3 linked regions of the Astyanax mexicanus genome follow. The protein of the gene in region 1 purifies or fractionates together with the protein of each later gene. This does not show direct contact. Links are inferred from orthologs where the notes say so. Each region holds a gene or a part of one and is shown in the gene's direction. Other genes may lie near its edges. The genes, in order: hectd1, znf622 and copa.

What was found.
Region 2: the proteins of hectd1 (region 1) and znf622 purify together in Homo sapiens (affinity purification with mass spectrometry; 4 studies listed by BioGRID, with this or other methods). This does not show direct contact. The link is inferred for Astyanax mexicanus from reciprocal best matches to the Homo sapiens genes HECTD1 and ZNF622.
Region 3: the proteins of hectd1 (region 1) and copa purify together in Homo sapiens (affinity purification with mass spectrometry, with the first as the bait; 3 studies listed by BioGRID). This does not show direct contact. The link is inferred for Astyanax mexicanus from reciprocal best matches to the Homo sapiens genes HECTD1 and COPA.

The regions. Positions count from the first base shown.
Region 1 is NC_064421.1:45,406,204-45,416,312, forward strand, and holds the start of hectd1 (E3 ubiquitin-protein ligase HECTD1), read left to right. Parts: upstream 1-5,892; 5' UTR 5,893-6,113; intron 6,114-8,153; 5' UTR 8,154-8,202; intron 8,203-10,109. Other genes in the region: heatr5a (HEAT repeat-containing protein 5A), read left to right, coding at 199-350, 904-1,114, 1,802-2,103. UniProt on the Homo sapiens protein: E3 ubiquitin-protein ligase which accepts ubiquitin from an E2 ubiquitin-conjugating enzyme in the form of a thioester and then directly transfers the ubiquitin to targeted substrates.
Region 2 is NC_064415.1:54,477,700-54,488,687, reverse strand, and holds the start of znf622 (zinc finger protein 622), read left to right. Parts: upstream 1-6,815; 5' UTR 6,816-6,930; intron 6,931-8,420; exon of another isoform or gene 8,421-8,423; 5' UTR 8,424-8,425; coding exon 8,426-8,981; intron 8,982-9,562; coding exon 9,563-9,838; intron 9,839-10,988. Other genes in the region: zgc:110158 (single-stranded DNA-binding protein 3), read left to right, coding at 957-1,115. UniProt on the Homo sapiens protein: Pre-60S-associated cytoplasmic factor involved in the cytoplasmic maturation of the 60S subunit.
Region 3 is NC_064415.1:44,434,992-44,445,491, forward strand, and holds the start of copa (coatomer subunit alpha), read left to right. Parts: upstream 1-6,315; 5' UTR 6,316-6,493; coding exon 6,494-6,533; intron 6,534-8,513; coding exon 8,514-8,627; intron 8,628-8,711; coding exon 8,712-8,785; intron 8,786-9,157; coding exon 9,158-9,238; intron 9,239-9,349; coding exon 9,350-9,426; intron 9,427-9,558; coding exon 9,559-9,668; intron 9,669-10,500. Other genes in the region: pex19 (peroxisomal biogenesis factor 19), read left to right, coding at 48-206, 539-583, 1,347-1,433. UniProt on the Homo sapiens protein: The coatomer is a cytosolic protein complex that binds to dilysine motifs and reversibly associates with Golgi non-clathrin-coated vesicles, which further mediate biosynthetic protein transport from the ER, via the Golgi up to the trans Golgi network.

The DNA.
Region 1 (10,109 bases):
TTTTATCACATATATATATAGGCATGAGTAAAGGAATTCTGTACTGTAAATGCACATGCAAATTTATATTACATGTACAATATCTATACAAAAAATGAATAACAGTGTTATTCACTAAATAAAAACTTACAAAATACAGTTTTCTCTTGCAAAATGTTAGATCTGATCGTTAGATCTGTTTTCGTTTGTCTTTTCTAGATAAGACGGAGCTTGTTGTGGATGAGGTCACCTTGTTAACAGCACTCACTATCTTCCTGCTGTTTGCCAGTGCTGAGGTCACCACTGTTGAGCCACTGCAGTCACTTTGCATCAGCAAATTTCAAGCCAGCCTGGAGTCTAAGGACCCTGTGGTAAGCAGGGCATAGCTACAGAACGAGAAAGTGGACACTTGCATTATTCTAGTGTTAACATTTGTGGTTTAGTAATATTTTTGATATAGTTATAGTTTTAAAATAACTGTTAAACTTTTAAGAAGTGACATTTTATCATATTTTAGATAATAAAACATTATTAGCTGTGTAAAGATCGCTGGTTCGAAACCTGTTAATGTAGCTTGCCATCAGCTGCTGGAGCCCTGAGAGAGCACCATTGGCCTTGCTTTCTCTGGGTGGGTGCAGTAGATGGCGCTCTATCCTCACATCACTCCAAAGGGTGATGTGGATCAGCACAAGGGTGCATCTGTGAGCTAGTGTATCAGAACCGAGTCTCTGCGCTTTCCTCCGAGCATTAGCGGGGTGATGCAACTCAGAAATACTGCATCAGCAAGAGTTCAAACAGAGGCGGAGTCTGACTTCACATGTATCAGAGGAAGCATGTGCTAGTCTTCAATCAATGATTTAAAAAAGTTATTTTTGGTAGTGTTTCCTTTATCCACAGATAATGAAGTAATTTGTTTCTTCATAGGTGCGGAGCAGGAGTTTCCAGTTGTTGGCGTCAGTGTTTCAGGGACAAACTGCCGTAGCTGGGCCGTTTATTCAGGGATTGGGCACACAGCTGGTGGCTCATCTGCAGCAAGTGGAGAAGAGTCGGCCTCAGTCCTCTGCGGAGCTCCAGGCAGTGCAGGATGGAGTCCAAACAATGGAGGCGTTAGTGCTTGCAGCAGAGGAAACTAACCGTCAGTATTTTATTCACACAGTGTTCTTTACTTTAGTTCTTTAGTTGAATTGATTCTATGGATATGCAATATAGCACATCTAGAAAAAAAATTAAAAAGCTAATTTTGGCTCCCTATTACAGAGGAATTATAAAATGAACAATTAAGCAATAATTCAAGTGTAATACTGGCACTGCTGTGCTGCAGTGTAGGCACGAATCCACAGGCCGATTACATGATATAGCACAAACCTTGAGTGTGTTATTGCGATTATACCACAGTTTCATTATCACTGTTTATCGAAAACATTTTGAGTTAAAGGGGACGAGAAAATATGATTTTGTTTTTTTGTAAACACTCCGCGAGTTAAAATAGTTCCATTGCTGCTCTGTTTGTTTATGTTACCTGTATGTGGCGGAGTAATACACGGAGAGCTTCGGTTACAGTGAGTGCATTACCGGCTGATAGCGGCGCTTTTAGGACGCCTCTCAGCCAATCACATTGCAGTGTTGGAGCTCTGTTTCAAGGGGGAAAAGGTTGCACTCAAAATAAGGAGTAAGGGTACAAAAGAGAAATGGGATTAGACCCATTAACTACATCTACTGAACCACAATATCAGACTGCTGTGTATAAATGCATGTACCATTACACCCCTAATCGGATTATATGTTATATGGCACTAAATATTGGCGCTGTCTTTTGCTTTAGGTCCCCAGTTGGTGGCTGTACTGTTACCCCTCCTGGTCTCCTACCTGCTGGACGAGAACACTCTGGGCTCAGCGTCTGTGGCCTCCCGCTCTCTGCACGAGTCTGCTCTTAGAGACCTGATGCGACTCGGTCCTCAGCATTCCAGCGTCTTCAAATCGCTCATGGCTTCTGCTCCCCACATGAAAGCTCGACTAGAGGCAGCCATCAAGGGCAACCAAGAGAGTGTGAGAGCCAAAGCTACGCCTCCTCACGTCCCTGGCAAGACTGCCCCCAGCATCCAACTTAAGACCAACTTCCTGTGAATCTGAAATGTTTTTAGGGCCAGCAAAATTATTTTAATAATCCAAGAATAATCCAAGAATGTGGGTTGTTGTTGTTACAGTATTCTTATGTTAGTGTTTGTTTTAAAATTGTATTATTAACCTCTGTGAGGAACTTAATCAGCATAAAGGTAGTTTAGTTTTAATACAGACTGTTTAAGAGGAATCTTAAATCACATCGTTTTAGGAATGCAGCATGTTTTAATATCTTAGATTTACTTTGCATTTTTATTTTTTTCACCTACAAATAAAATTCATGGCTTTCTTAATTTATCATAATTTAAGTTCTAATATCTGAATACCTCAGTAACTGTTAAAACTGTTAAATGCAATTCTCTCAGTGAGACGAAAAAAAGCAGCTGGTTGTGAGAAGACTGTGCTTGCTTTAACTCAGTATTTTCTAATATTGCTTTTGGAGGACTAGCATTTTAAATTGTAGTGAACACCATTGTATTACCTCAGGAGCTGCTGGGAATGAATCAGTGTGCTATAGCAGAGGGCACATAATTAAAGTAAAGTGCAGGACCAGGACTAAGAAAGCCAGTGGGTGTTTTACATGCATTTAAAAATCCCTTCATTGTATTTCTGCAGTTATCTGATTATTCAAGTAGTCATGTAAGCAATAAGAGTGGGCGATATGGCCCTAAAATAATATCATGATATTCCATGGTATTTTCATGATGACAATACTTTTGGCGATATGACAAAAGACCGAATTGAAAAAGAAAAATATGTCAAGAGTACACAACTGCAACAAAATAAAAAATGTATTTTATTATTGCATACAAGATGCTAAAGGCACACCCCTAACTGAGATATTAAAACAATACAAGAATTTTATCAGATTTGTAACAGAAGTCATTGATCCAGAATGATCAGTAATGATACTAATAATAATAAACTCCAAATATCTCCATATATCCAGGATTAAAGTAAAATAAATGGCACTGGACAGATATAATCTTTCTCTAGTAGATAAATAATGGGGAAATGAGAACAGTTTGAATTTTTCTTTTGCTAAAAACAGCAAAAAAAGTAGTACCCTGATGATAATTAGGGGTGGGTGATATAGCACAATATTTCAGGGTATAATATCGTTCACTATATTCACAAATGTGTACAATATTATTGCGTACAATACGATATGGCACACCCCTGATAAGCAGCATACTCTGTTTTTTTTAGGTTAAGGTAAGGTCTTGAATCTAGATTAAGAAATCTGATAAAAAGAGAAGGATTTTAGCTCAGTAATCATATTCTCAGTCCATTTAAACTCTTAACCAGAGTATTTTCAGATTTATATATATAGATTTATATATAGTATTTTTGTGCCTGCATGACAAACTGCAAACAGACTGTAGTACCAGAAATAAGTGAGCAGTGTTTAATACAGCACTCGCAAGATGACTATCGGAGCAATGCTGAAACTGAAGGATTTAAATAGTCGTCTTCTATTGGCTGTATGTTCATATTGCATATTGTATAGTTTGAGTTGTATGTGATGTTTAATTCACATCTTATTCTGATAGTTAATTGGCTGGCAGTAAAGCCAAAATCAAACATACATATTACACATTATCTGTTTTCATGTAAAACATTGACTGGATTACCGTCGACCTCCAATATACTCCAGTAATCAGATTATTAAGTGCATGTGAACACACTCAGTGTCTCAGGTTTGTGGCACATTATAAAATTTCCTCAAATTTCCACTTAAGTTTAGGTCAAGTTACTACAGTACAAGCTACTCCACTGGGAGCTTATTTGCTTTCTCTGGCTTTACACTACGGCATATTATTTACAGCATTACGGTTAAAATGCACTTGTTTAACAGTTTTCAGCACAGATTGCTCCCTGTATCAAATGCATGGAAATACTACAGCCTGGTGCCTGCATTTCTGCATTGCATTGCTCCAATTCCAGCTACTTTTGTATTAATTACAGCACTGATACTCTGCAGCAGCTTGCAGCTTCCATGCAGTCAGACATGGTGTGATGTTATTCCTTCAATACTTAAGTGATGCATGAAAACCAGATAACTTTTCACAATTTTACCAAATTGCGCTGCTATTTTTTTAATTTTAGAATGTAATCCAGAATAAAAGGATACAATAATATAAAAGTGATTTAAGGTTGTTTTAAACTTTATAAAAATTTGTTTCTGAGGATATATTGTTAAGGCCGTTGAGATGAAATTGAGCTGGTGGAAATCTCCAGTCTTAAAGGATTGGAGGTTTACTAGAGCAGGAAAATTGCACAGCAAACAATTCTGCACTCTGCTCGTAAAATCATTTAGATTTAGAGTACGAAAATCAAACATTACTTATCAATCCAGTAAATTGTAACTAACCCATATTTTTTTTTCTTTTAGCTTTCGGCTCTTTCTTTTAATTGTTGGTACTTTTGCTGCAGTGAACATATCAATTAATACTGTATTTGTAACCATATCACACATTTTGTATCCTGTAAAAGAAACAGAAATGTGGTACAAAATTAACAGTTATTTTCTGATTACATGTTTGGAAGAATAAATTAACGTCCATTGTGTTTCCTTGCATGTTTGTTTTATATACACAGCAATCCACCAATATTTTAGCTAGTAGCACAGTGACCAGTGCATTGATATTGGAGCCTCCATACACATACTGTGAATTGTGGCATGGAAAGAAGGGGTATAATTGTATTATTACACTTTATTGTTTATCACTACTATGTCTAGGACAATATATGGTCAAAAATTCAGACACATTGGAGGGTTTTCAAGCATAAACAGCTTGTTTAAGATCATGGCACTGAATATGGTTCTTTCTTTTAGAACTGGCACTGTGAACACTTCCCCCTAAATTGACATGAATTAATAATAATGTACTTTATTATCATTTAGTTAGAATGTTTACGTTTTTTTATTACTCTGCTCTCTGTACATGATAAATAGGTATAATAACAATCCGAATGATATATATTTTTTAAATAATATTTTTAGTGTTGACTTATCCACTATAATATAATCAAGAGGAAAATGGATGATCACAACCAAGCTAACTGCTTGATTTTTTTCATTAGGAGTGGTATAAAGTTATCCAAAAGCAGTGTGCAAGACTGGTGGAGGAGAACATGATGCCAAGATGGACAAAAAATGTGATTAAAAACCAGGGTTATTCCACCAAATATTGATTTCTGAGCTCTTAAAACTTTATAAATATAACCTTGTTTTCTTTGCATTATTTAAGATCTGAAAGCTCTGCATCTTTTTTGTTATTTCAGCCATTTCTCAGGATAAATTCTGTAAATGAAAATATTTTAATTTTGAATTATGGGAGAAATGTCCGTAGTTTATAGAATAAAACAAACACAAACATTTACTTATAAAAAGCAAAATCTGATTCGGAAACTGAAGTGGTTTCTCTTTTTTTCCAGAGCTGTAAAAAGCTAGTTGTTTTTTTGAGATGTAAAATCTTACTATAAATATTGAACCAATTAATTTATTAAATGAAATTATTCATAGTGATTTATAAATTGGTCTAAATGAATGTCTAATGTTATAGCAGAATATATGGAATAAAAAATATCAGAAAATAAGACTATTTTTATTATTATAGTATTATATATTATTCGTATTTAATTGTAGTTTTCATACTTTCCATGCAGGCTAACCAAAAGGATTAAAAGTCGATTTGTACTAAAAAAAAAACCATATGTTTAAAACCAGTTTGATTCATTAGCACGTGTGAATCGGTTCAACCGATTTATTAAAAAGAACCGGTTCAGACGACTTATCCGTTGGGGAGCCGGACAGCGCTAGTTTCCCCCGGCGGCTCTCCATTTCGCTCAGAAGCGCCTCCGCCGCTCACTGTGACCTCTACGCGTGTTTATAACAGAGAGGGGATGAAGAATCCTTACTTATCGTCTTAGTTTGGGTGAAAACTCGTGGATTTGAATTGAGAACTTGGATTTTTCGTCTTCTTCTCGGCGTTTGGGGGGAGAGGCAGGCGGTGAGTGTTTTATTCTCGCGGCTCTGAGGCCGCAGGTTTCCTGAGTTCTCGCTGACAGAAGCGCTGAGGCCTCCGGCTTCCCACTAACTTCATACTGCGGGATCTCTTAGTCAACACAAGGCCGAGTCTGTTCGGCTTCAGCGTTTATACGGATAAAGTGCGGGTGTCATGTTTATCGAATAATGTAGATTAGACCCTGCTCACTAACTGTGTGCGTTTATATCAGGATTTGTCGGGCTGGATTCTCCGTTGTGTGGGTTTGTTTTTTAATAAACTGGGTAGTTAGCGTTAGCTAAGCTAGCTAGCGATAATCCTACTAGATAGATAACGCGAGCGAGCTAGCTTAGCAACCTCGTATGAAGTAATTAAACCAAACGGAGTTTATTGTATTTTTAGTTGAACGCTTGACATTAGTTTTCCTAGAATTAAATATCTAGAAAACAGATTTTGAAACGACGGCCAGTGTTGCCGCAAAGCGTCTGGTTAGCTATGCTAGCTAGCTTTAGGCCCGGCGTCGAGGATCATTAGTAGCGTCTGACTGTTGGTAATGTTAGCTTAGCTACTGTGTTATGTGGCTGTGGGGATTATTAAACGTTAATTAGATAAAATATATATCTATCGGGTTGAATTTTGTTTATGTAACTTACGTTGTAGTTATAGAAACCACTAACTAAATTAGCCAGCTAGTTAGCTCACTAAACTTTAGGAGGGCATAATTATTGTTAGCTAAAGATGTTTACAGTTCGGTATCAAGTGACAACCGTTTGTTAGTTAGCAGCTAGGTTAGCTTACCCAGGTTCTCTAGTCTTAATTTGTTAGCTATTATTATAACAAGGAAGCTAACTAACTTTACTTGCGTTATTATTTTAGCTTAAGTTAGCTAGGTGAGTTATCTTTAGGTTAGCTGCTGGTGGTAACGTTAGCAGTAAAACTCTCATTTTTACTCTCATTTTTTACTTAACTAGTTAGATAAGCGAGGTACACGTCGTGTATCATTAGTAACTACTGACTGTTAGGAATTACCTAATTTACTAACGTTAGCTAGCGAGTAATGCCACTGTTATTTGGCTGTGGGGATTATTTAATTAGGCAAAACAGATATTTAATTTATCGGATTGAATATTGTTTGTGTACGTTATAGTTATGGAAACTTAACGTTACATTAGCTAATTAGGTTAGTTTACTAAACGTCAGAAGGGCATAAAGTTAATTATTACTAGCAAAATTTGTTTACAGTTCGGTATCAAGTGACAAACGTTTGTTAGTTAGTTTTAGTTTTATTACTTAGCTAGTGAATTGGCAGCTATCATTACAGACAGCTAAGCTACTTTCTATGTAGCTAGGTACCTTGCTAGGTTAGTTAACGTTAGTTATCTTAAGGTTAGCTGCGATGGTAACTTACGTGGTGGTTTATTACCAGTAAGAAATATTTTACTCACATTTTTTCCTTCTTAGAAGTAACTTAAAAATAATAAAACCTACCGTTAGTTAATATTACCAAATGACTCGCTTTTTCACGTTCTAATTTTAAGTTAATTTAAAGCTAACTACTTAAAAAAGTGAGGTAAGCTACACGTCTAGTATCATTAGTAACTGCTGACCGTTGGCTAAGCTAACTAGCTAGTGAGTAATGTCCCTGTAATTTGGTTGTGGGGACTATTTAGTTAGCTAACTAGGTTTATTACCAGTAAGAAATATTTGAACTACTCCCATTTTCCTACTAATAGCTTAACATTAAAAAAACTGTATTATGACAGAAGTGACTCGTTTTTCACGCTCTAATTTGAAGTAAATTTAATCGCTAAATAGTTAACTTATGTTAGATACGCGTGGTACTTTACACGTCGAGTATCATTAGCTACTACTGACTGTTAGCTAACCTAACTAACTAACTAGCGAGCAATGTTGCTGTTATTTGGTTGTGTGGATTTGTGTATTTAGTAAGTAATTTTAATAACAATAAATTAACAATAAAATGTTCTACTCCAAAGTAACAAAATAACTCTCCTTTTAACTCTCTAATTTGAATTAACCTCATAGATAAGCGAGGAGCTCGGCAGAGCCAAGCTGTTTAACTGTGCGTGATCAGGTAACGTTAACCTTAGCCAAACACTACTCCTATACACATACACACACACACACACACACCAGCTAAACAGTGTGACCTAATTTTAGGTCGTTGCATATTTTGTTGAATGACAGCTCTTCTCACGAGTTAAGCTCTGGGTGGTTTAAGAACATATAAATAGTCCAACACCTTTGCTTGCTTCATTTTGTGCCCAGTTTGTTTGGCCAACACATCTCTGGGGAGAAGTTCATGTGATGTTAAGCTGGTATCATGTTGACGCTCGAGTCATGATGGCTACAATCATGTATCTAGTATCTGTTTGAGTCATCGGGTTGGGGGATGATCAGAAAGGCCAGTCAGTTGTTGACTTTATTCTCTAAACACTTCTTACACATGTGTAGTTAGTGTCATCACATTTAACTGCTGTGAATGGATCAGGGGTGAAATGTGTTTTTCTACTTATTTTATTCTTCTTCTTTTTTCATCACAAGAGCTCCCACTATCTTCCTGCTAAACTTATAAATGTTCAGTTTTATTTTGACACCTCTGAGGCTTGTTTTTCAAAGTAACAGTAGATGTCTCATTAAATGATTTGACTATACATAGGAAGTAAAGTATCATTTTTGGAACCTTTTGAATTCCTGTGGATATAGCAAATTATCAGCTTATCAAATTTCAAAGAGGTTTATTTTATGTGAAGAAGCACCCAAAACATGCATGATAGAAAGTAGGTTGTGCCATATTGTACAGTATGCAATAATATCTCCAACATTTTTGAATATTGGGAACAATATTATACCCTTAAATATCATGCCATATTACCATCCCTAATTATCACACCAGGATACTACTTTTTTGCTTCACCTACTGTCTTCAGATGGAATCTTGACCTTTTTAATTGTTTCACTTTCATAGATGTAGTTACATATGTATTTTTTGTTACTTTTGCAATAATACACAAACTTTATATTGTAGCAATTATAATGCAGTAATGTTAGTGCTATTTATATTTTTAGATTCTTAGATTAAGAGGACAGTAAAATATTTCCAATTTATAAGTTAACCTGCCACAAAAAGTCATCATCAGACTCCACCCTTCGGCCCTACTACGCAATGATTGCACCACAGTTGAAATTTTCTTGAAAGGAAGTTTTAAAGGTTATGTTTAATGTATATATTTAACTCACCATGATCAGTATGTATCATCAGATATTAAGGAACCAAGCTTAAGCACTGGCAGCTCCTGTGAGCAGAGCTTTAGCCAGTATTTTCTTATTTGAATTGTGCGGTACATCAAGAAAATCTGTGTGGGATGTAGCCTCCGAATCTGCCCACGACCATAATGCATCCAGCAATACACTTCGGATAAAACATTTTTTAGTTTAAGCAGTTAAGGCAGGTAATATTTTTGTTCTTAATAAAGTGCAACAATCATGCTCATTGTTTGTTATAACAAGATCCAAAAATATGGCAGTCTCTCATTGTGACCGTATGAGAATGAGATTACTAATATCGGCTGTCAAATAAATCTGTTGTATGAGAATAATTATCGCTTTTTGTATTTTTTGGTTGCAATTTTGAAAAAGGTATGGGAAAAAAGTACCGTTTGGGTATCGGTACTGAATTTAAGGTAAAATTACTCAGCCCTAGAGTCCACAAATCCACAAATGTCTTTTCCTTGTTACAACTGAGTATAACCACTGTATTTATAAAAATTAATGTGTAGTTTCGGTGTTTTATGGCCATTTTCTAAATAACAAGCTAGTAGTTTGTCTCAGTCACTAGCTAGCTAACTAACTTTCCACCTAACTAACATTCCACCTTAAATGGTGCAAGGGATGGCAGAGAAAAATAAAATAAACCTAATAAAACCTTCCTATCAAAGATAAATTAATAAGTGGACAATAATAATTAATTGCTACATCTCC
Region 2 (10,988 bases), on another chromosome or scaffold:
CTTTTGCCCTTAATGGCTTTTTTTTCCCCCTTACATTACTTTTAATTTTAAAACCAGTAGTTTTACTCTTTCACTTTCACACAAAAAGCTTGAAATGATACTTCAACTTATACAGAAGTATTTTAAACCCTAGTATCTATACTTCTACCTTAGTGATGGAGTGATGACTGGTGTTAATGCATAGCAAACAAAAAAAGGAAAACAAAAATTGTTTTTTAAAAATAAAATAAAACACAGATGGCACTTAATTTCTTTATATATCTCATATATCTCATATAGCTCATCTGATTTTTTTCTCATTTAGCTCATTAAGCTTTTTTTCTTTGGGAAATGTTGAATACAACTAGATTATTTAAGATATTTGAGCAGATATACAAGAAATTCTAAAAGCTAACAATGTGTGGTTTGATGGTCACTTACAGTCATTTAGCTGAATTGCATTTTCTATTAAAAAAATCTCACCGCTGTTTCCTTTCCGTGGTACCCACAGTATTTAAAGAAATGCAAAAAAGGTACAAAATAATTACTTTGTCCATTATGAAAAAAAAGTTTCTGTAGAATGACCAGATCTTATTTCCAGCATATTTATAACCAGATATCCCATTTCAGCTGCCTCGTCCACACAAAACCGAGCTCATTTGTTTGTTTTGTTGTCGTATTTCAGTAACAGTAATGGCATTACCATCTCTTCATGATCTCATCTCACTTCTCTTCCCCCCTCCCTTTCTTCTCTTTCCAGTTTTCACCCAACATGACGATGAGTGTGTGATTTCTCCTTTTTTTATTGGATTTTTCTTTTTGTTTAAATTTTTTTTTTGGTTGCTTTTTTTCATTCGGATTTCTTTTGTATCCTTCCGACCCTCGTTCCTTTTGACCCTCTCCTCCCTCTCCACACACCCCTGCCCACGGGACTTTGGGCCGGGACCCCCCCCCTCCTCTCCCAACGCACTGCGCAGTCTCCTGGGACGCAGGCCAAGGTGGCCCACCCCGGGGCGTGCAAACTCGCCGCTGCCGCCGGCACCAGGAAGCAGCAGCAGCCCCCCCCATGCCACAGGAAGAGAACGCTGACTGACTCGCCCTGCCTGCCGGGCTTTCTCTCTGGCTCAGGACACTGAAAGGGGGGCTACAGGACTGCGTGTATATATACATATACATAGATATGTATTTCTACACAGATACACACAAACGCACACAATCACACACACACAGACACACACACATTCACAGATGCAAGGACGGACTGATGGAGAGTGTGAGGCTGCAGCGCTGGTCTAGGGCTGCTCCACTCCTTTTTAAACTCACCCCTCATCGTGTCTTGTTTCGATGATTTTCTGTCGTTTCTTTATAAATGCAGTAGTTTTATTTGTTTATTTGTTTGTTTCTCCACGTCGGGATTTTGCGATCCTTCGCCTCGTCCTCTCGTTTTATCGTGTACATCGTGTACATTTTCAAATGCGTGAAACTCATGAAGATGTGATGGGCTACGGACGTTTTTCATGTTTTTTTTGTTTTGTTTTGTTTTTCGTGTATGTACTGTATTATTAATAATTATTGTGTTTTTTGTCGTTATTTTGTAACAATATTGTAATGATGGTGATTGATTTTAGGGTATTTGTTTTTTCTTTCCTCAGAAGGGCACATTATATGTATTCTCAGTAACCACACCACATACAAGAAAATGACGACACAGTAAGCACACTTTTTTTTGTTTTTTGTTTTTTGTTTTGTTTTTTGAGACAATGGGATGTGAAAGCTGTTTCTTTTCTTTTTTGTTTTTCTTTTTTTGTCTTTGTTTTTATTTTAAGGTCTCTGTGTTAGTTTTTTTTATGTTTTTAGTCAATTTGTTTTATTTTTTTTTTTAAGAGGGGGAATCTTGATTTTTGGGAATTTTGTTTCTGTCCTGTTTGAGAGAACACCATGGGGTTAGAGAGTTCGTACAGAGATGTAATTTCACTCCTAGACTCTAGAGAGTCTGTTGTTTTAGTTGTCCTTTTATTGTTTGTTGGTTTATTTTATTTTATATTTTTAAGAAATATGAAAGAGGAAAATGCTTGTGCCCCTCATTGTCGAAACCCGGGAAAGGCATATTATTGTGGTACTATATATATAGTTGTTATAACTCTGATTATAACTCGAATCGATTCAGTCATATTTTTATTTATTATTTTACCTGTTTTTTTTTTAGTGTTTTCTGTTCTTTTTTTTTTATTGAATTGTTGTTGTTTGTATGTCTTGCAACACGCAACGCTTCAGGACATATTGTACACATGTAAATATTCCAGTCTAAGATACCTCCTACTGATTTGATACCCTCTGTATACTCTGACTGCCATGTTTCTGGCCCCCTTTCCTCCAGCATGTTCACGAAATCGAGGCGTCTCTGGGAAGAAACAGACTTTTGGTTCTTTCCTGTTAAACAGAGGCCTCATCCCGGCTTCGGCTCCTGGAACACATTTTGTTTGAACCCCTCCCTGTGCTCGAGAATGGGTTGCGCTGATGCTCTTGGAGGTTCTGGGCGCTCAAGACGTTCTGATGCAGGACCACAGGAGTGGAAATCGGACGGACGCTGCTTGTAAATACTCCTCGGCCTACCTTGTGCTATGTTGTGTTAGCCAGACTCATCTGAATCCTGTGATTTTTTTTTTCCTTTCGGAGCGCGGCTCGGGAATTTTTTTAAGCCGAAATCAAGACTACCTAGATCTGCTAAGCTGTAACGTCCACCCAAGCCAGGCTTCTACTGTTTGGACGTAGAACGCAACACCACCACCTTCTCAAAACTGGACTGTTCTCTGTCTGAAGGTTCCTACGTTTATGTTCCTTCTGTTTATCTTTCCTAAATTTTAAAATTTAAGCAAAATGTGTTCTCAGATTCAAAAAGTGCTCTCGCTATACCCTATAAGCCACCCAGCAGAGGTGTGCGGAATGGCCAGTACGAGTTAATGAGGGATCCACATGCCCCTGCTTAAAAACAGCATCCCTCTAACCTGTTCCCAGACACACACACACACTCCCACATGCAGTATACATATACGAAAAAATCTGACTTAACTGTAACTCAACTGGTTGCCCCCCCACACACACACTCCAACACCCTCAACACACTAAACCCCCAAACATAGCGTGTCTCTTTTATGTCTGTCATGTTTGGCTGTTGTTGTAAATACTGTACAATGCATTTTGATATCATTGACATGTTTTGATATTTCTGTCACAACCAATCAACACAGCGCTGAAAACATGAAGAACAAAAAAAAAAAAAAACTGAAAAGGATGTAATGAAAAAAATCATCTTTATAGCTGAACAGACCGTGTAGTCCTCTGATCTGATCCCCTTCCTGTCTCCTATCTCCTATCTCCTGTCCCTGACGGTCCCCACTTTCCTATTCTCGCTGTAACACCAACACACAACCAACAGGAGGGAGAAGGAGGGAACGTAAGACGAGCCCATTTTTATACTGAGTGACTCCTTTATTAAATACACACACAAAACACAAGGGAAAAAAAGGAAAACTAAACTAAAGGTACCAGGTTTTAAGAGGCAGCAGTCCCTCCTCAGTCCTCACTCCCGACGGACTGACGTTCAGCCTTCACCGAGAGCTCAGGATCTGCATCTGTCTGTTTAAGGGTCACATTCTTTCCATGGAGGTGATTTTTTTTGTTTTATTTTATGTGTTCATTATGTTTTTTTTTCTGTCATTCATTTTTAGAACCAGTATCAGTAGGGACAGAAGAAAATGGTGCAATTTTTCTTTTTTTTTCTTTTTTTTTCTGCAAAAATATTCATGCTACCTTTTTTCCCCAGAAAAGAGCTTCATACTATTCCCGTTTCATTTTTTAAATTTTTGATCTAAAATCTCATATCTTCCTTTTTTTTTAAGGGTTTTTCTGTCTGAAGTGAATATTCTCGTTTATTTTTTTTTACCTGAGATTATTCACTATCCCCCTTTTTTTTTAGCTAATGTTAGATTTCATTTTTGACAAATAATTGCTATTTAGTTTTGAAAAACTGGGAAAACTTTAACTTCTCTTTTTCATTTTTTATTATTATTTTTTTTTTCCTGGATGCTTTTCTATTTTTTTTTTTTTATCTTTAGGGAAACCATGTCCAGACTGATACAGTCAACATTTTCATTAAAAGGCAAAATATTCCTGGACTGTTTTTTTTTTTTTATGCTTTTTCTTTTTCTTCCAATTTTTTTTTTTTCGCCTCCATGGAAATCATGTTGAAACAAAACCAACGAAACCAATAAAAGCAGCGAACAGCGTTTCACCAAAACATTAAGGGACCACAAACAGACTTTGCTATGAAGGATTTCTCTTTTTTTTTTTAATGTATTTAAAGTAAAAATGTAAAAAAAAAAGAATAAAATTAAGAAAAAGCGTACTTGTAAAAAAGTAGAACTGAACTAGGGAGGAGGCGTTTGGCAGAAGTTTGGAAGAAGTGTTTTTTCTAAGGTCGCCGTTGTCCTTGCTCTTGTTCTCCGTGTAAAACTCACCGGCCATCGTTCCCACCGTCGTGCTTCGTGATGATCATCATGATGATCTTTATGATGATGATCATGATCATGATGATCATGATGGTTCTATTGTTTGCCAGCAGGGTAGATGAGGTCACACACAATAATGATGGGGACGGTGGTTTTCCTCCTGCGCCATTTCTTTTGTCGTTCTTTATGAGAAACAAAACAACAAGAAAAGCAGCAGCAGCAGTATTGAGTATGAAGCAGTGGCCTCCTCGGTTTTTGCTTTGTATTTCATGTTAGGCTAGTTCGGATCCTCGTCTTTAGGGACTTCTCCGTGTCTCGTGTAGTTTAACAGAAGTCCTTTGTATGTTTCTTTATATTGTAAATTGTTTTCTTTAGACTGAAAGATGTCGTTTATTAAAAAATGGGAAAACTGCATCAATAATAAATGTTTTGGTTTAGTTTTTTTATGTTTTTTTGTTTCTGTTTTTCATGGAGTCGTCACTTATTTTTGCTTGTGTCCCTTCGTTGTAGATACAAATTTAAGACTAATAAAATAACGTAACCCCTTTTACCAAGAACTCTTGCTTTCTATTTTTTTTAAGGATCTCAGGAATTGCATGCTTCCATTCTCTGGCCCATAGACTGTATATAAAGATGGATGCCGTGTCGCCGTTCCCATTCATTCAATGAAAATGAAGCCAAAATCTTCCACCATTTTGGCGATTCAGAGACCAGAGTCTGCGCAGTAGAGACCAGAGGAGGGAGAAAGGCTGTGGAGAGACGCCTCCTCATTTAAATAACCCCGCCCCTGAGGGCTGCCTCGCGGTCACAGACTGCAGAGCGGGGCGGAGCGGAGCTGACGGTCTGTTATTGGTACCGCCCATAAGCAGCCCTTTTACCATGAATAGAGCCGAATAAAGTTTTAAAAACCGAATTCTGTGGGGATATAAAAATTTAACAATATAAGCAGAGGTTACACTAGCTGATACATTTAAATAAAGGAAGATATAATTACAATATATTAGAAAAAAACGTGATTGAAAGTTGTCTGTTTTGCCATTGAAACCTATGGGGATGGGTGGGGTTACACAGCTTTCTGCAGCCGAACAGCAGGGGGCGCCCGACCTGTGGTGGCTTCACTTTTAAGAGACGATGCTCTGTCCAGCTATACACAGTCTATGCTCTGGCCTAAAATTATATAAAATCTAATATTGGACAGAATCTGCAGTCATTCCATTATAATACTGATTAAAATGCCTTTTTAAGCCTGAAGACGTACACAGATCACTAATACTAAAATATTTTAACCACTTTTGTTGGCTGTACTCTTGCTAACCGTGTTGGCTGTATGCGTTTAACACATTTGTGTAAGATGGTATTTGTCTTAATTTCTACACAGATCAGTCAGGATATTGTTATTATGCTTTCCTGGGACGATCCTGATGAGAGCCAATTTCATCATTGTAATGTTTTTGATTGTCTTTGCAGTGAAGGATCCTTTCAAAAGATACTTGAAAAGTTTTAGATTGACTGACTTTCATTTCTTCAAAGTATTTTTTCATTACTTAGCTGAGTAGTTCTTGCCACTATCTCATAAAACTGACTGAGAACATCCACCAGATATGGGCTACTTTGAAGAATGTAACATATAAAACATATTCTGGTTTGTTTAATAATTTCATATGTTTTTTCTTCATGTGTGGGTCTGGATCAGGCAGGTCAGGCAGGGTTGCCAGGTCCAACAAAAATGTCCAGCCCAAAGTTAGTCTAAAACCCGCCGTCTGTCACACGTTTTGAAGCAAATATCAAAACAACTATAAGTGTACGACTTAGTATTTTGTTTATAAGGCATTTATTTATCGTAGTCATTAATAATATTGTAACATTAGTGTTTTATTAGTTATTTTATAACCATTTTATATCCCAGTCAAGAACATTTAATAGTAACATAATTAGAAAATAATGTTCTCCTGATTCTTAATGTTGTAATCCATCTTCCGGATGTTTAGATAGATACTTTATTGATCCTAAAGAAAATTTAGCAGCCAGAAGCAGTTACAGAAAAACAACACAGAAGCACAAACAACAATATAAGAGGTTATACAGTATCATTAAAAAAGATAATATTTATTTATTTATTTATTTATATTATATAATAAAAAGGCAAATTTTTTGTTTAGTTTTTTGACGGCCGTTATAATGACTAAATTTTTATTACCTGCGACTGGACTTAAAAACAAGCCCAGTTTGGCGTAAAAAATTGCGAACCTGGCAACTCTGAGATCAGGAGACCCGGGGTCCGCCAGGCAGCTGGCGGCGCTGTGGGCTGAACCTGGCCGGACTCGGGCTGTTTCTGTCCGGGTTGAGCGCTGTGTCAGCCTCGTGTGAGCTGCTGGAGGTTTACAGAGGCTGGAGCTGAGGATATTTACACACAGTGGAGGAGCTGAACAGCGTTTATAAACAGGTGAGGAGACGCTCTGACCCTACATAAGATCTTATATCAACTTATTATATAAGTTACACTGTAATGTAGTTTTATGTAGACAATGTTGTGTTATCTAAATTTAACGTTACCTCCTCTGTTTATTATTTAGCCAGCTAAGCTAACTAACTAATGGCTAACCTAACTTAGCTTTTTTAATGTATTTAACAAGCAAATATCTAAAAATCGTACAAATAACGCCAGACAAATAAACCTTCCGTAATATCTATATTATTTGGTACAGACTTAAGTAACGTTACTCATGGATACAACATAACGTTACTCATAAAACAGGAAAATACACAGCATTATCTAGACAACATAGAACAACATAAAAGAAAGGTTAACACAAATATTAATAACAATATTTATAACGTTACATTAATTGCGGAAGGCTAATCGATATAACATTACGTTAAATCATTATAAAATAGATCATAATAGCAAAATATTTTTCTATTTTTTTTGTATTGATGCTACTTAACAATTTGAGAAATTAATTTAACTCAATTAAATCGGTAGGGAAGTTTAGTTTTGCGTCTGAAACCTTTGTGAATAAATAATTTTTACGAATGTAATATAAAAATTTACAATATACTCTAAAGGTTTATTTGATGTTATAATAACAGACTAATTCTAGCCTAACATTCATGATGGAAATTATGGAAAATATATATTTTATATATATTTATATATATATATATATTATGGAATTAAGGAAAATATATATATATTTTTTTTGTTAGAAAAAAAGTATCTGTACAAAATGTAACATTTGGCCAAAGATAAAATACTGAATATCAAATGTTTTAACTAATTTACCATTTTTTTTTATCCCAGCAGACATATATAATTTAGAATAAATAGTTTGGTCTTTTCACATTTCTTTTTTCTTAATTCTTCAATTTTTTCTAATTCTTCTCATTTTCTTCTCATTAACTGTGCATCTCTAGTAAACAAAACAAAAACAAACAAAATAGTGAAATGTTTGCATATATATATATATATATATATATATATATATATATATATATATATATATATATATATATATATAATGTATAATGTATACAGTAATTCTGTCAGTTATATTTTAAAATAAAAAAAAATATGTAACATGGGGGTGTGAGGGTTTGGTTAAGGTAACTTTATAGTGATTCTAATGGAACATCCTCATTTGAATAATAACCTTCCTTACTTTTAACAATGTAAGTCAATGTAAAAATACTTTATTTCAGGTCATTTTTGAGAACTTCTATTTGTCAATTTATCAAGAGATTTTGCCACAGTGTTAGGGACCATTTTTGTGTTCGAATTTTGTAGAAAACTAGAAATAGTCAAAAATAGAGATACTTTTTTTTTTTATTGGACAGCAACAATAGGGGTTTGCTAGAGTCCTCCAGTTACATTTTTGTGTTTTTTTGTGTAATATTTCCTATTAATCCTAAGCTTGTTTCTTTGGTTAAATTCAGCAGGAATGTCTGCCTACACCTGTATCAGCTGCCGTGTGCAGTTTGTGGATGGCGAGGTGCAGCGGGCGCACTACAAGACCGACTGGCACCGCTACAACCTGAAGCGCAAAGTGGCCGACATGCCCCCGGTCACGGCCGAGAACTTCCAGGAGCGAGTGCTGGCTCAGCGGGCGGCGGCCGAGCAGCAGCAGCAGAACCTGACCAGCTTCTCCACCTGCAGCACCTGCAACAAGAAGTTCTCCACCACCAACGCCTACACCAACCACCTGCAGTCCAACAAACACCTGCAGGCCGAGAGGAAGGCCCTGGCAGCCGCCCAGGAGAAGGTGCAGCGAATGAACGAGAAGAACCTGGAGAAAGGGGCGGAGCTCGACAAGGATGCACAGAACGAAGCTTTGCAGCAAGTGCTGAGGGAGCAGCAGAGACACACCCCCTCCAAAGCCACGCCCTCAGAGGGGCGGGACAGACAACGGCCTGCCAAAGCGCCTCGGCTGCAGTGGTTTGAGAAACAGGCCAAGAAGATTGCAGAGGAAGAGGGAGAGGAAGGAGAGGAGGAGGAAGGTGGGTGCTAAATGTTGATACCTTCTCTACTCTTCTGTCCCTCTGTTTTGTTTCTTTGTCCAAACCTAACTTAACTGCACTTTTGGTGGATTGTGGATTGTAGTGTTCCTTAGCTCTGCTGTGTTGCTGTGCTAATAACTACTTACTGTACTGGCTGAGGGATGTACTCTTGAGAGGGTTATCCAGTTAGTTGGGTTAAAACTATTTCTCTTTCCTCCACAAGATATGCTAAATGCATGCCAGACACTGCACAGCCACTAAACAGCACTGTGGCCGATTCAATTAGAGAAATATCATTTAATTTAATACCGCAAATGTTTAATATATAATTTATCGTAAAGCCCGAATCAGTATTGAGCTGCTAGCAAAAACACTGCAATGTGATCTCAAATAAGTTAGTCATTGTTTGGTGTAAATTATTTTGCCTTTACACTTGTTTCTTTTTTTTACTACAGTTCACTACAGTTTCACTTAGAAGTTGTCCTGTTGCCAAATATTGCATTAAAATAAGATTCTGTTAAGTTTCTCTTCTACTCGAAGCCAATAGTAGAGCAGGTACTCATATCCATCATCTGTTTCAGAAGAGTGGGAGGATGTTGACGGCGAGGATGCTGATGCATTTGAAGATGACGGCGATGATGAGGACATGGAGGCCGATGAAGAGGAGCAGATGGAGGAGGACGGAAAAGCTACAACAGCAGCCGCTCCAGGGACCATTTCAGTAACGGACTGTCTGTTCTGCTCTCACCACTCACGATCTCTGAGCAAGAACATGGCTCACATGACCAGCACACACAGCTTCTTCATCCCTGACATAGAATACCTGGTAGATCTGAGAGGACTCATCGCATATCTGGGTGAGTTGCAGACGTACTAAACCAATTAGATGCAGGCAAATGTGGAACGTGTGTAATATGCATATAAATAGAGGGATTTAGCAGAATTTGGATGGATGGTGCACTTTTCTACTGTGCAGCAACACCTGTACACACATAACCTTTATGGAAGAGCCATTAAAAAAAAAAAATGACTTTTCCATTTTTAGTACCACATAAATGCAGCAACCATAGATATATAGATCAACAGCAATATACATAGATCAATAGATTCAACATTAATTATCTATGGATTTACTAGTGCTGTGCGATATGACGATAAATATTGTGGGGTTATCCCTATCGTTTCTACAGTAATTTCATTAATTATTCATGCAAATATATAAAGTAGGCTACGATGAAATGTATTGGCGTGGTCACTTCGCATAAACTATGTTTATATAAGTGATAATAAAGTAATCTTTGCAAAAAAAGCTTCATAATGTGGTTTTGTGACATGATACTGCTGTACGTTATTTGACGGATACTTTAAAAAATGTTATTTATTAGTTTATTATGATAACTCAATTTAAATACTTGTATAATTAAAAAAAACATTGCTACTGCATCTACCTCATCTGTTTTCACTTGATACATATATGCTGCTGCACTAAAAGGTCGTAATTCTCATTTGTGAAAGTTTGGTTTAATGTCACTTTGAAATAAATTTGGAAAAAAGTAAGCAATTATATATATATATATATATATATATATATATATATATATATATTTTTTTTTTTTTTTTTTTTTTTGGTCATATATTTCGAAGAATAACTAAAAACATAAATAAATGTGGTATATCATGATATTATTTACATGATGTTATTAGCTTGATATAAAAAATTCCATATTGTGATATATGATTTTTCCCATATCGCCCAGCACTAGTATTTACCCTGGATTACGTTCCCGGTCAAAAGTTTTAGAACATCACTCTGGTTTAGTAGTGTAGTAACAGTGCTGAATGATCCTGACAAGCTGCTTTTTTATTTTTTATCTTTATCTTAATAATGACTATATTACTGCGTAACACTTTACCTCTCAGACTAACTAATTATTTTCTTCACTGCTGAAACTGAGTCTCAGTTCAATCATGTTAATCTGAGCTAAAGGCTGAAGCTGTTGTTTCCAT
Region 3 (10,500 bases), on another chromosome or scaffold:
TATTTTTTGTTTTATTTTTGGTTTGTTTGTTTGTTTGTTTTTTATAGTACCCAGAGTGGCTGAGCAGTAACAGACAGTCCCTCTCACCTGACGACCTCCACCGGTACGAACAGCAGCACAAAATAATGGGGGAGATCTGCAACCAGTTTGAGAGACAAGGAGAAAAAGAGAGCACATTTGAAAACATTCTAGAACTCATGCAGAAGGTAAAGTAAAGTATCCTTATTATGTACACAATTATCTATTTTATCTATGTAAATGTTTATTCATCAGAAGGACTCATATTGCGATTATAAAAAGTAGTATTTTCACCAGATTAATCAAACATGTAATGTTCATTAATAGTGCACTAATGAACTAATAATGCATAAATGAACTATTAATTATCCAAGATTGGAATAAAATTAATTATATTTAATAGATAATACTGGAACAGAGCAAATGTTTATTTTGTATTCAGCAGCAAAAAAAAGTTGCAAATTGCAAGTGCACATTTTAGTGACAAAATGTAACTTTTTCTGTGTGCTGTTCTCCTCAGCTGCAGGATCTGGGACAGCCACCAAAAGAGCTCGCCGGAGAGGCAGTAAGTAACCTTTCTGAGCAAATGTGGCTTTGAAGCAATAGTTAAAAATTAGTTAGTAGATAACCATAATGAATCAGCTCACCTCATATGTAATTGATAAGCCAACATGTTTGGTGTTTGAATGATGCATCATATGCAGTTTGAAAAGTCTTTGAAAAGTAAGGTCACAACAGATCTACTGCCTCTGCTGGCTGGTTGCAGTATGATGTGTAGCTTTCAACCCATCCCCTCATTTCCAAGCCGTGGCAGAAAGTCTTGTTTTATTCCTATAGAACAGAGGGAAATTGAACCACAATGTCCATGCTTTTCCAAAGTCATTTGGAGCTTCATATCAAAGTTTTCCATTCCACTTAAACCCATTAGAGCCCAGTTGTTGCCAAGTTTAAAATTAAATCAGAAATTCAGTGAGCAACGTATTCATGTTTGTTTGTTATTGTGGGCACATAACTGTAAACATTTATGATTAAAATTGTAATTAAGCAGTAATACACAAGAGGGAGTGCTATAACCTGTAGTATTGGCGCTGCTGTGCTGCGGTTGTAGGCACGAGGCCACAGGCCAAGTACTGTAGATCAGCACACGTGGACTTTATGGGATAAAGTAATAGACAGATTAGGACCTTAGATCTTTTATTTAAACATTTTGTTGTCTTGTGTTGTAGTTATGGTGGGGTAATTTATTTTCTTTTCTGTTACTGAACTATACTTTAATACATCCTTTCTCATGCTGATCTATGTAATGTGTATGTTTTGTGTCTCCTTAGCCACCTGGTTTGAACTTTGACCCGGAGTCACTGCACCTGCCCGGAGGTCTGGGTGCGGCCGGGGCTGATCAGTGTTCAGTGATGTGAGGCTGCAGTGTTTGTATGTGTGTGTGTGTTTGCACCCATCAAACCCTAAACCTGCCTCCCCCTCCTCTGCTCACTCTTCGTTCCCTGTAGTCACGCTGGAGCAGCCCAGTAACATTCTTTCTGCGGGTGAGGGTGGGGTTTACTCTGGTGGTTCAACTTGCTCATAGTAACTAATTTTGCACTTTTTCACCTGATGACAAGTCGAGCAGCTAGAACCGCGTGCCTGTTCCGTTAAAGATAGAGATGAGAACACCGTGGGAGGTGAGCGAATGGGATTTTAAAGTGTGACTCCAAGGAGGGACACTGGATCAATAATTATAGCAACTGCGAAATTAATAAGCTGTAATTTAAATGGTTAATAATTTTTATACATTATATTTTCAGCATGTTTATTTTTTTTAAACATGCTGAATCATTGTTCCGTTTCTTTTTCATAATTAATCAGTGACCAAAACTGATTTTCTTAATATTTCAGCCTTTAAAATTAAGTGGTTTTCACTTTTCTCCCTGAGTGAGCCTGATTAGCATGGTTTAGGTAGCCTTGTGTATTTTCCTTTTGTCTGATTACAGTGAATTGTATGCTGGATGATGTTTTGATCATCTAAAAGTGGATAGAAGTGATGCGTCTGATCTGTTTTGCCTTCTGAAATTCTTTACAAGTGGACATATTAGGCATTTTTGCAATATTAAAGGTATAATCCAGTGGTTTTAAAAGTGAAATCTGTACAGTAGCATTAGCAGTAGCATACGGTCAATTACTACAGACAATCATTTCAACATGAGCCTGGATAAGAACAGAAAACCATTTATCTAAAACTCACTTATAATAGGGTTCAGTGAGCAGATGCTTTAAAGATGTTCATCCTAATCTGCTTTATTTGTAGCAAATGATTGATTATCTCAGACTAATATAATTTTAACAATGTTGCTTTGAATCTGACTTATTATAGAAGCAAGTGGGACCATGCTAAAATTGTGTTCCATTGCTGTCCATTATAAGTATTTTTGATTAAATATTATTATTATTATTATTATTTGACTTTAATACCTAAATTTGTGTCTGGTAATTAATCATTTCCTAAACATGCAGCAAAAAAGAATAAAGCACCCCCTTACATAGCCATTGACTTCTACTGTAAGCATTGTTTGACTAAATGGCTTTTCTTTAACGATAGAAAACCCATATTGTCTATTGTAATTACCTGTATACTAAAATGCTGCAAATACTGTAGGGATGAATTAATACACACACCCTGCTTCCATTACAAACCTGTTAATACCAGTTCATTGTAAAAGTGTAATTTTACAGATGATTATGCTCTGATTCAGCTCTGAGTTGTGTTTAATGATATTTATCTACCATTGTACCTCAGATAATGGGGGAATGTTCAAATTAAAATTCTTAAAGATTGTGCTTTTATTTTGAAAGCTGAGTTTAAGGTATGTAGATATGGTTGTTAGCATAGATTTCAATGAGAGAAGAGCACATAACCTCAACACTCAGGAGTTCATTGAACACCTACGCACTTAAATCAGCTCAACCTTTCCTCACAGTACACAGTTATACCTGTCCACTACACTGTGAACAGAATACGCAACTACAGTGAAGAAATAAAAAACATTAATCAAATTTTCTTTGGTTCTCTGTGTTTTTGTATCAGTTGAAAAGATCCTCTGTTCAGTTGTAAATGTGATGTAATCTGGTGAGCCGTGTGCAACAGATAATTTCTTTTATAACTAAATAAGGGACATGTTCAGTGAAAAATCAAATGAACATTGTTGATCTCTGACCCCAGAATGTCATTCAGTCAAGACATGTATCTGATGTGTGATTATTTAGTTTACAGTAAGAGCTGCTAGAATAACACTGCTGAGATGTCTGAGATGAAAATAAGATCACACCCGAGTTGACTGGGTTAGAAGTCAAACATTCAGGGGTCCTTATTAGAATACTCTGCATTTAATAACTTGGTTCTGATGGAACACAGCATAAATTTTTTATCAATTTCATTAATACAATTTTTTTATTTGAAAAAACCTTGAAAACTGTGACTTTTTGTTACTATTACATTTATACAACATTACCATTTTTATAATGTCCCACTATTAGTGAAATTCCACTTTCAGACTGGAGTAATAAATCACAATGTGCTGAGCTGTTACTCCACCATTCATCTCTATGGAGAAGTTTATTATAAAAATTACATACTATACACTAAAATATAAAATTATGAGATGCACTGTGTGAAATTAACAGTTTAATTTACAAAACAATCAGTTACTAATGTTGGGGAGGAGGAGGTGCTTATTAGCACAAAAAGCTAATCGAGCATAACAATTCTTGTTTTTAATATGTGCAAGAGAGTAAAACTTGTTCATTTTTCTGTAGTAAACAGGTTTTATGCAGTAAAGGCTAAAGCATTACTGCTACTGTGAGCTGACTGGTTGCTGATGCTGGAATTACATGCAGAGGTTTGAAAGGTTAATACTTGGAGTTTAAATTCTTTACTCATTTAATCTGCAATGCCTAAACATATGATATTGTTCTGTGTTGACATAATGAGTAAATTTTTCAGTATAAAACTATTTTTAGCGCCTGCTGGTGCTCTAACAAACCCAGAATATCATCTAACTGTAGATGATAAATATAAATTTTTTTAAAATATGCCTTTATTCTCTAACATATTCTTAATTTACTTTTTTTTTTTTTTTTACACGTTTGTATCAGTCTGTACTGTCCGTTTGTGTTCATTAAGCTTTTTTGTATCGTCCCTCACAGGGGGTAGTGTGAAAACTGGGGAAAATAATAAAGTTACAAAAAAAAATCTAACAGATAAAGGGCAGTGCAATGGTGAATCTTATAATATCCAAGAGGCACAGGTATCAGCAGACAATGACAATACTGAATAAACATTTGCATATGACAAATCTGTGTATCATTTGTTCTTTTGATATTTAGTTGAAATAGTTAAATGGCACTAGGTTTATTTCTCAGGGCATTATCTCCTATTCTCATTTTGTTTCAAAAACTGGCAGACTTAAAAAAACAATATATCAGACTGCTAAAATCCTGAATGACCTTGTAAATATAGTATGCACCACAGCCCTAGTTCTAGACTGACTTGCTTGGGGGGGCAATAGAACATAACGGGTGGACATGTTAATATTTTTTAAGCTAATGATACTGGCTAAAATTGATGTGTGAGGGGGGAAAAAATAGAAATGTTTCATGTGTCTTCAAACTTACACTAAAGCATACTATTTTTTTAAAAAAATATCCTTTGCTTATGTAAATTAATAAAGATTATCTAATTGTGATTAATTTCAATACCCCACCTTGGTTAAATTAGAATTATACTGATACAACAACTCTTTTATGTGAAAAAGTATCTAGACATAGGATGTGAATATAATACTCAAAAGTGGAAATAGGAATAAGTAAGAATACAAATATGATTATTAAATTAAAATATAAAAAAGTTAATAGTTTAACAAACAAACTATATACAAACAGCCTGTATTCTCAAAAAGACTCTTTTCTCAAAAAGCTTATTTGTAGGCCTAAAGACCTTTAACACAAGGTCCTGTATTCAACTGCCAAGTTAAAATGCGTGTATGCCCTTTTTACTGATAAAGAAAACTAAGTAATTTAATGAAGTGTAAATCTAGTGTAGGCTAAAAACTGAGTAACCTGGGTAACCTCCTTGAAATCAACTTTTGCAACTTGGGATGTCTGGCACCGTGATGTGGTACATGGGGGAAAACTATGCCGAATCAGTGGTTATCTATACAGACGCGTCTAAAATGGATGAAAAGGTTGGTGTAGCCTATGCCATCCCAAGGGTTCAGGCTGTAATGGCGAAAAGAGTGAATGATAACCTGGCAGTGTATACAGGTGAGCTGATTGCAATATGGTTGGCACTACGGTGGGTTGAGGTCAACAAGCCACAGAAGGTGGTGGTTGCATCTGACTCCAGCTCAGCGCTTATGAGCATAAGGAATGGCCAGTCTGATTCGAGGCCAGACCTTATATATGATATAGTGCAGAGAGCAAATAATCTGGCCAAGGCTGGAATCGTTACAGTTTTTCTATGGGTACCGGCGCACATAGGGGTCAGTGGCAACGAGTTGGCTGACAAGCTAGCAAAGGAGGCCTTAAAGAAGGACAGCGTTGAGCTTGAAATGCAATACAGTAAGGCTGAGATCAAAAGTGTAGCCAAGGCCAGGACCTGTGGTAAATGGCAACGCATATGGAATGATGGAGAGACAGGGAGGCAGTACCATGCCATTCAGAATGAAGTGGGGAGGCCTAGAAACACAAACAGAGAGAAGAAGGTTCTCCAGAATGAGGTTTGGTCACAAAGCTCAGAAGTACACTTTATAAGATGAAGAAGGATGTTGATGGGACCTGTGAGTGCAGCGACAGCCAGGAGACTGTAGAACATGTTTTGATTCATTGTCCAAAATACCAGACAGACAGGCAACTACTTATCAGCCAACTACAGAAAGAAAAGGCGTCTTTTAACTTTCAGAGTTTAATGCAGTTGAGCACAGGTCATGTGAGTTTTCCTATAAAAAAAACACATGATTAATTAACAAGAATTAATGGATAAGTCATTTTATCCTTTTATTTTCATTTTTATTTTTATTTTTATTTTGTGTGTGTGTGTGTGTGTTTTGAGGGTTGTCAGCTATTCCTGATCCACACTCCAGTCCAGAGGTGGCGGTAATGCACCAAATACGCTGGTTTGCCAACCGGAATAAAACCACAACAAGAAGAAGAAGAAGAAGGAGGGTTCTTCCGTGTAGTCCCCTCGGTAGGGGACATGTGCTGGATTTGGGACTCGCCCACACTGAGTGTGACGTGGAGGTTCCGCTGCAGCGCTGGAGCTGAGTGTGAGTGAGCGGGTTTGTGTAGACGTGTCAGCTCCGGAAGCGCAGCACCTCCAGCAGCCCGCTGCTGTTGGATCAGACCGGCTACGACACCGGAGCTTTAGCGGCGATTCCATTATTTTACTGGAGTGAACCGACCCTCAGCGAGGCTGCAGAGTCCGTCCGACATGCTGACCAAGTTCGAGACCAAGTCCGCCCGAGTGAAGGGTGAGTTCAGTCAGGACCCGCAGCGGGTAGCTGGCCTAGCATCACACAGGCTAACTGAGAATACCCCGAGCTAAACAGCTAAAGAAAACACCCGTAAACACATGTATCGGGGTAATCACAGGCTTATTAAAGTGCTTTTTTCTGTTTAAATGTTTAAATAGTGTGAAATATCAGGAGTTTAAACTGCATTCACAAACACTGAGGCCTGTGAATCAGGAGGTAGCTGATTAGCATAGCTTTAGCTTAGCACAGGTTAGCTTCACAGTGAGACTCTGTAGCTTATAGTGTTTTTAGAGTTAAAAGGGTTAATAGTTTAAGACAGCTGGTGTAATATTATTTTAAATAGCATACAGTTATAATTTTTAACTAACGTAGGTACGTTTTTTATATTTATGTAAAACGACATTTACTTAAAAAGCATTTATGTTAATTAACTTTAACTTTATTAATTAACTTAATTAACTTCCCCTGCCTAGTTCTAGCATCCTTAAACCTGTAGTTACATAACTAATGTTAAGTATGAGACTTGTCACGGTACAATTAAACAGCTTTAATATATTACCGTTTAATTTATCTATATAATTAAAGTGAAATGGATGTCAGATTTTATACACTTAATAGTGAAGTATGGAACTTTTCAGTTGTCAAATTTGTCAGTTTTTCTTCAGTTTTTGAGCTCTCGAATTTAACTCGAATGACAAATTTAGCATCAAATTCCTGAGTGTGTTTTTCTTCTGTAACATTCAAAATACAGATGCACAACTTGCACCGATTAGACTTTTAATATTAGGTGAGAATTCAGACCGATATTCAATATTATACATATACACAGCAACAGTCAAATCTTTGGGCACACCTCTTCTCATTCAAAGTGTTTTCTTTCTTATTATTTTGTAAATTGTAAATGCAATATTGAAAAGATTAAAGCTGTGCAGGAACATGTGAAATTAAATGTTTTACAAACCAGCCACATTTAGCTTTAAGGACAGATCTGCACACTCTTGGTATTTTAGTCTCAGTGTCTTCATGAAGTAGAGTCACTTTAAATAGTTTTTTAAAGCGTACTGAAGTAGTTCCTATAGGTGCTGAACAATAGTTCAGCTCACTTAGGTTTAGGTCAGGGGATTGTGGAGGACAAACACTTTATTTGTTTGCTATGTACACATAATTTCATATGTGTCCCTTAATTGTTTTAATGTTAATATTAATCTAAAATGTATAAAAGAAATGTTATAAATATATATAAATGAAGAAAAACACTAAATGAGAAGGTGTGTCCAAACTTTTGACTGGTATTGTATATCTGTTGATCCCGAAATATACATTTATAACAGAGAGACTAAACAACCTAGTATAATTTTAGCAACAAATGTAGTATTAATTTTCCTTACATTTCATCTTTTAGCTGTGAATAAAATGAAAGGTGTCTCCATCATTGGTTTCACATTATTTACGTTAACTGGTCCTTACATAGACTGATAACAGCTTTGAATCCTCATTTTGAAATTAATAGATTAAAAAAGGCATAGACCTATTGAAAGTAATAAAAAGAAATACAATTGTAAAATAAATAAAATTGTAAAGTAGCATGGTCAATGTCTACATCAGCAAGTATCAGTTTAAAATATTTACCCGATTCTGATGTCATTGTGCATGCCTAATTTATACAGATATTTTGCTTGAAATTAAAACTGTTGTTGGATCAGAGTGCAACAGAGGCTTTGGGTTGATGGCATTTCCTCTGTACATCACTCCTGTATGTGTTGGTCAGCACAGGAGTCTGTTAGCTGATATATCAGAGCTGTGGTTCCGGCACTTTTGCCCGGAATATTTCAAAAGTACAGTAGCAAAGTACACATATGTAACTACCATTAACCACTGATAAAAAAGACTGTAACATCTAAGGCATAACTGTATTTGCTTCAAATCAAAAACTGGATCTTTCGTTTAAAATAGGTTCACACCCATTGTCTGTTTCAGGGCTGAGTTTCCATCCAAAGCGGCCCTGGATCCTCGCCAGTTTGCACAATGGGGTCATTCAGCTTTGGGACTACCGCATGTGCACCCTCATTGACAAGTTTGACGAACACGATGGTAAGACCAAACTGCCAGTTGTTACTCTCTGAATGTACTGTATCTGTGCCTGCAGTGTGACACCTGTGTGTTTGTGCTGTGCAGGGCCAGTCAGAGGGATTGACTTCCACAAACAGCAGCCTCTGTTTGTTTCCGGCGGGGACGACTACAAAATTAAGGTCTGGAATTTCTGCTTTATGGGTTGCAGTACCGTTTCAGAGTTAATGTCCACTTTATTAGAAACCCCTTTCTTTCACCATCACAAGGTGCTGTCTGGTATTATTTCAGGGTCACTGCAGTGTTAAAATTGTTAAAATGAATGAATGATCAGAGAAGGTCTAACACAGATAAACACAAATCAACTGATGATTTATAGTCTGTAATGAAACAACACCCAGGTGAAACCACAGGCTCTATGTGGTGAACACAGTGTAGTTAAATACATTATACAGTTTGATGCACTCTAGATCAATATCTACATGCAATTGATCTCTCTCTCTCTCTCTCCCTTTCTCTCCTTCTATGTGTGTGTGTCTGTGTGTCTGTCTCAGGTGTGGAATTATAAACTTCGCCGCTGTCTTTTCACCCTGCTGGGTCATCTGGACTACATCCGCACTACCTTCTTCCACCATGTGAGTTGTTCTCTATACTCTGTTTTATATAACAATCATAATCACATTACAGGTTTAATATGTTTTTTGAGCTCCATTCTGAACCTCTGTATTTGTGTTTCTCTGTTTCAGGAGTACCCATGGATCCTGAGTGCCTCAGATGATCAGACCATCCGCATCTGGAACTGGCAATCCAGGACTTGTGTGTGGTGAGTGTGATAGTCTGTCTGAGTGTTTATGCACGGTTTTAACTCCACAATGCAACACATTTTTAAGTACCACATTTTTAAGCCATGCATGCTTTTTTAACAGTGTATAATCTCTCTCTCTTTTTCTTTTAGTGTTCTGACTGGCCATAATCATTATGTGATGTGCGCTCAGTTCCACCCGTCGGAGGACCTAGTGGTGTCGGCCAGTTTGGACCAGACCGTGCGCGTGTGGGATATTTCCGGTAAGGGCTGTGGGACGGGCCAGAGTGTGTTTGGGGAGAGTGGGGGTGGGTTTGGGGTGGACAGAGAGGAGAGAGGTAGTGTTCATCTCCTCCTCTCCTGTGTGTGTACAGGCAAGAATCTCTGTGGGCTTACATAAACTCTTCTCACAGCTACTGCACACCCAAACCTGAACCTGAATACTGAATCACTGCTGTACAGAAAGCAGGAATCACTCTTTTCATTAAACTAAATAAATGTAAAATTATTTTGATATGCTTGTATTGGACATATGCATAGATTCCAAATTATGAACTGCCCCATTTAATCAGTTTAGCCCGATTTGTTTAACCTACAGCAGTTTAGCACTGTCCTTTATAATAAAAGTGCAGATATGGCCTCTTTGAATCTACATAGAGAGTTTATTACTCTGTATAACAATGTTATAGGGAGTGAGGTGATTACAAAGTTGTGCGCAGTGATGAGTGGGTGAAGGTTTGAGTTCAGTTTAGTCCGTGAGAATTGTTTGTCTCTCTGCATGATTTAACAGAGATCTAAGTCATTAATTAATGTCTTTCTTTGCTTCTCTTTTTTCTTGCTGAATATTAATCTACTACTATAACCCAATAACATTCCATACGCACTCACACACTTGAATTTAAAGCATGTGTCTTAAACTTCAGGAACTCCTGACCCTCTGTACTGCCTTCTCTACTCTCAGTGACACACTGAGACGACGTTTCTGACAAACTGTCTTTAAAGCAGTGTTACTGTAGCATGGACTGTAAGACAGGGCCATTATAACAATGCATGAGTTGGGAGAGAAAAAGAGCACTACATTTTTAAAACTGGAAG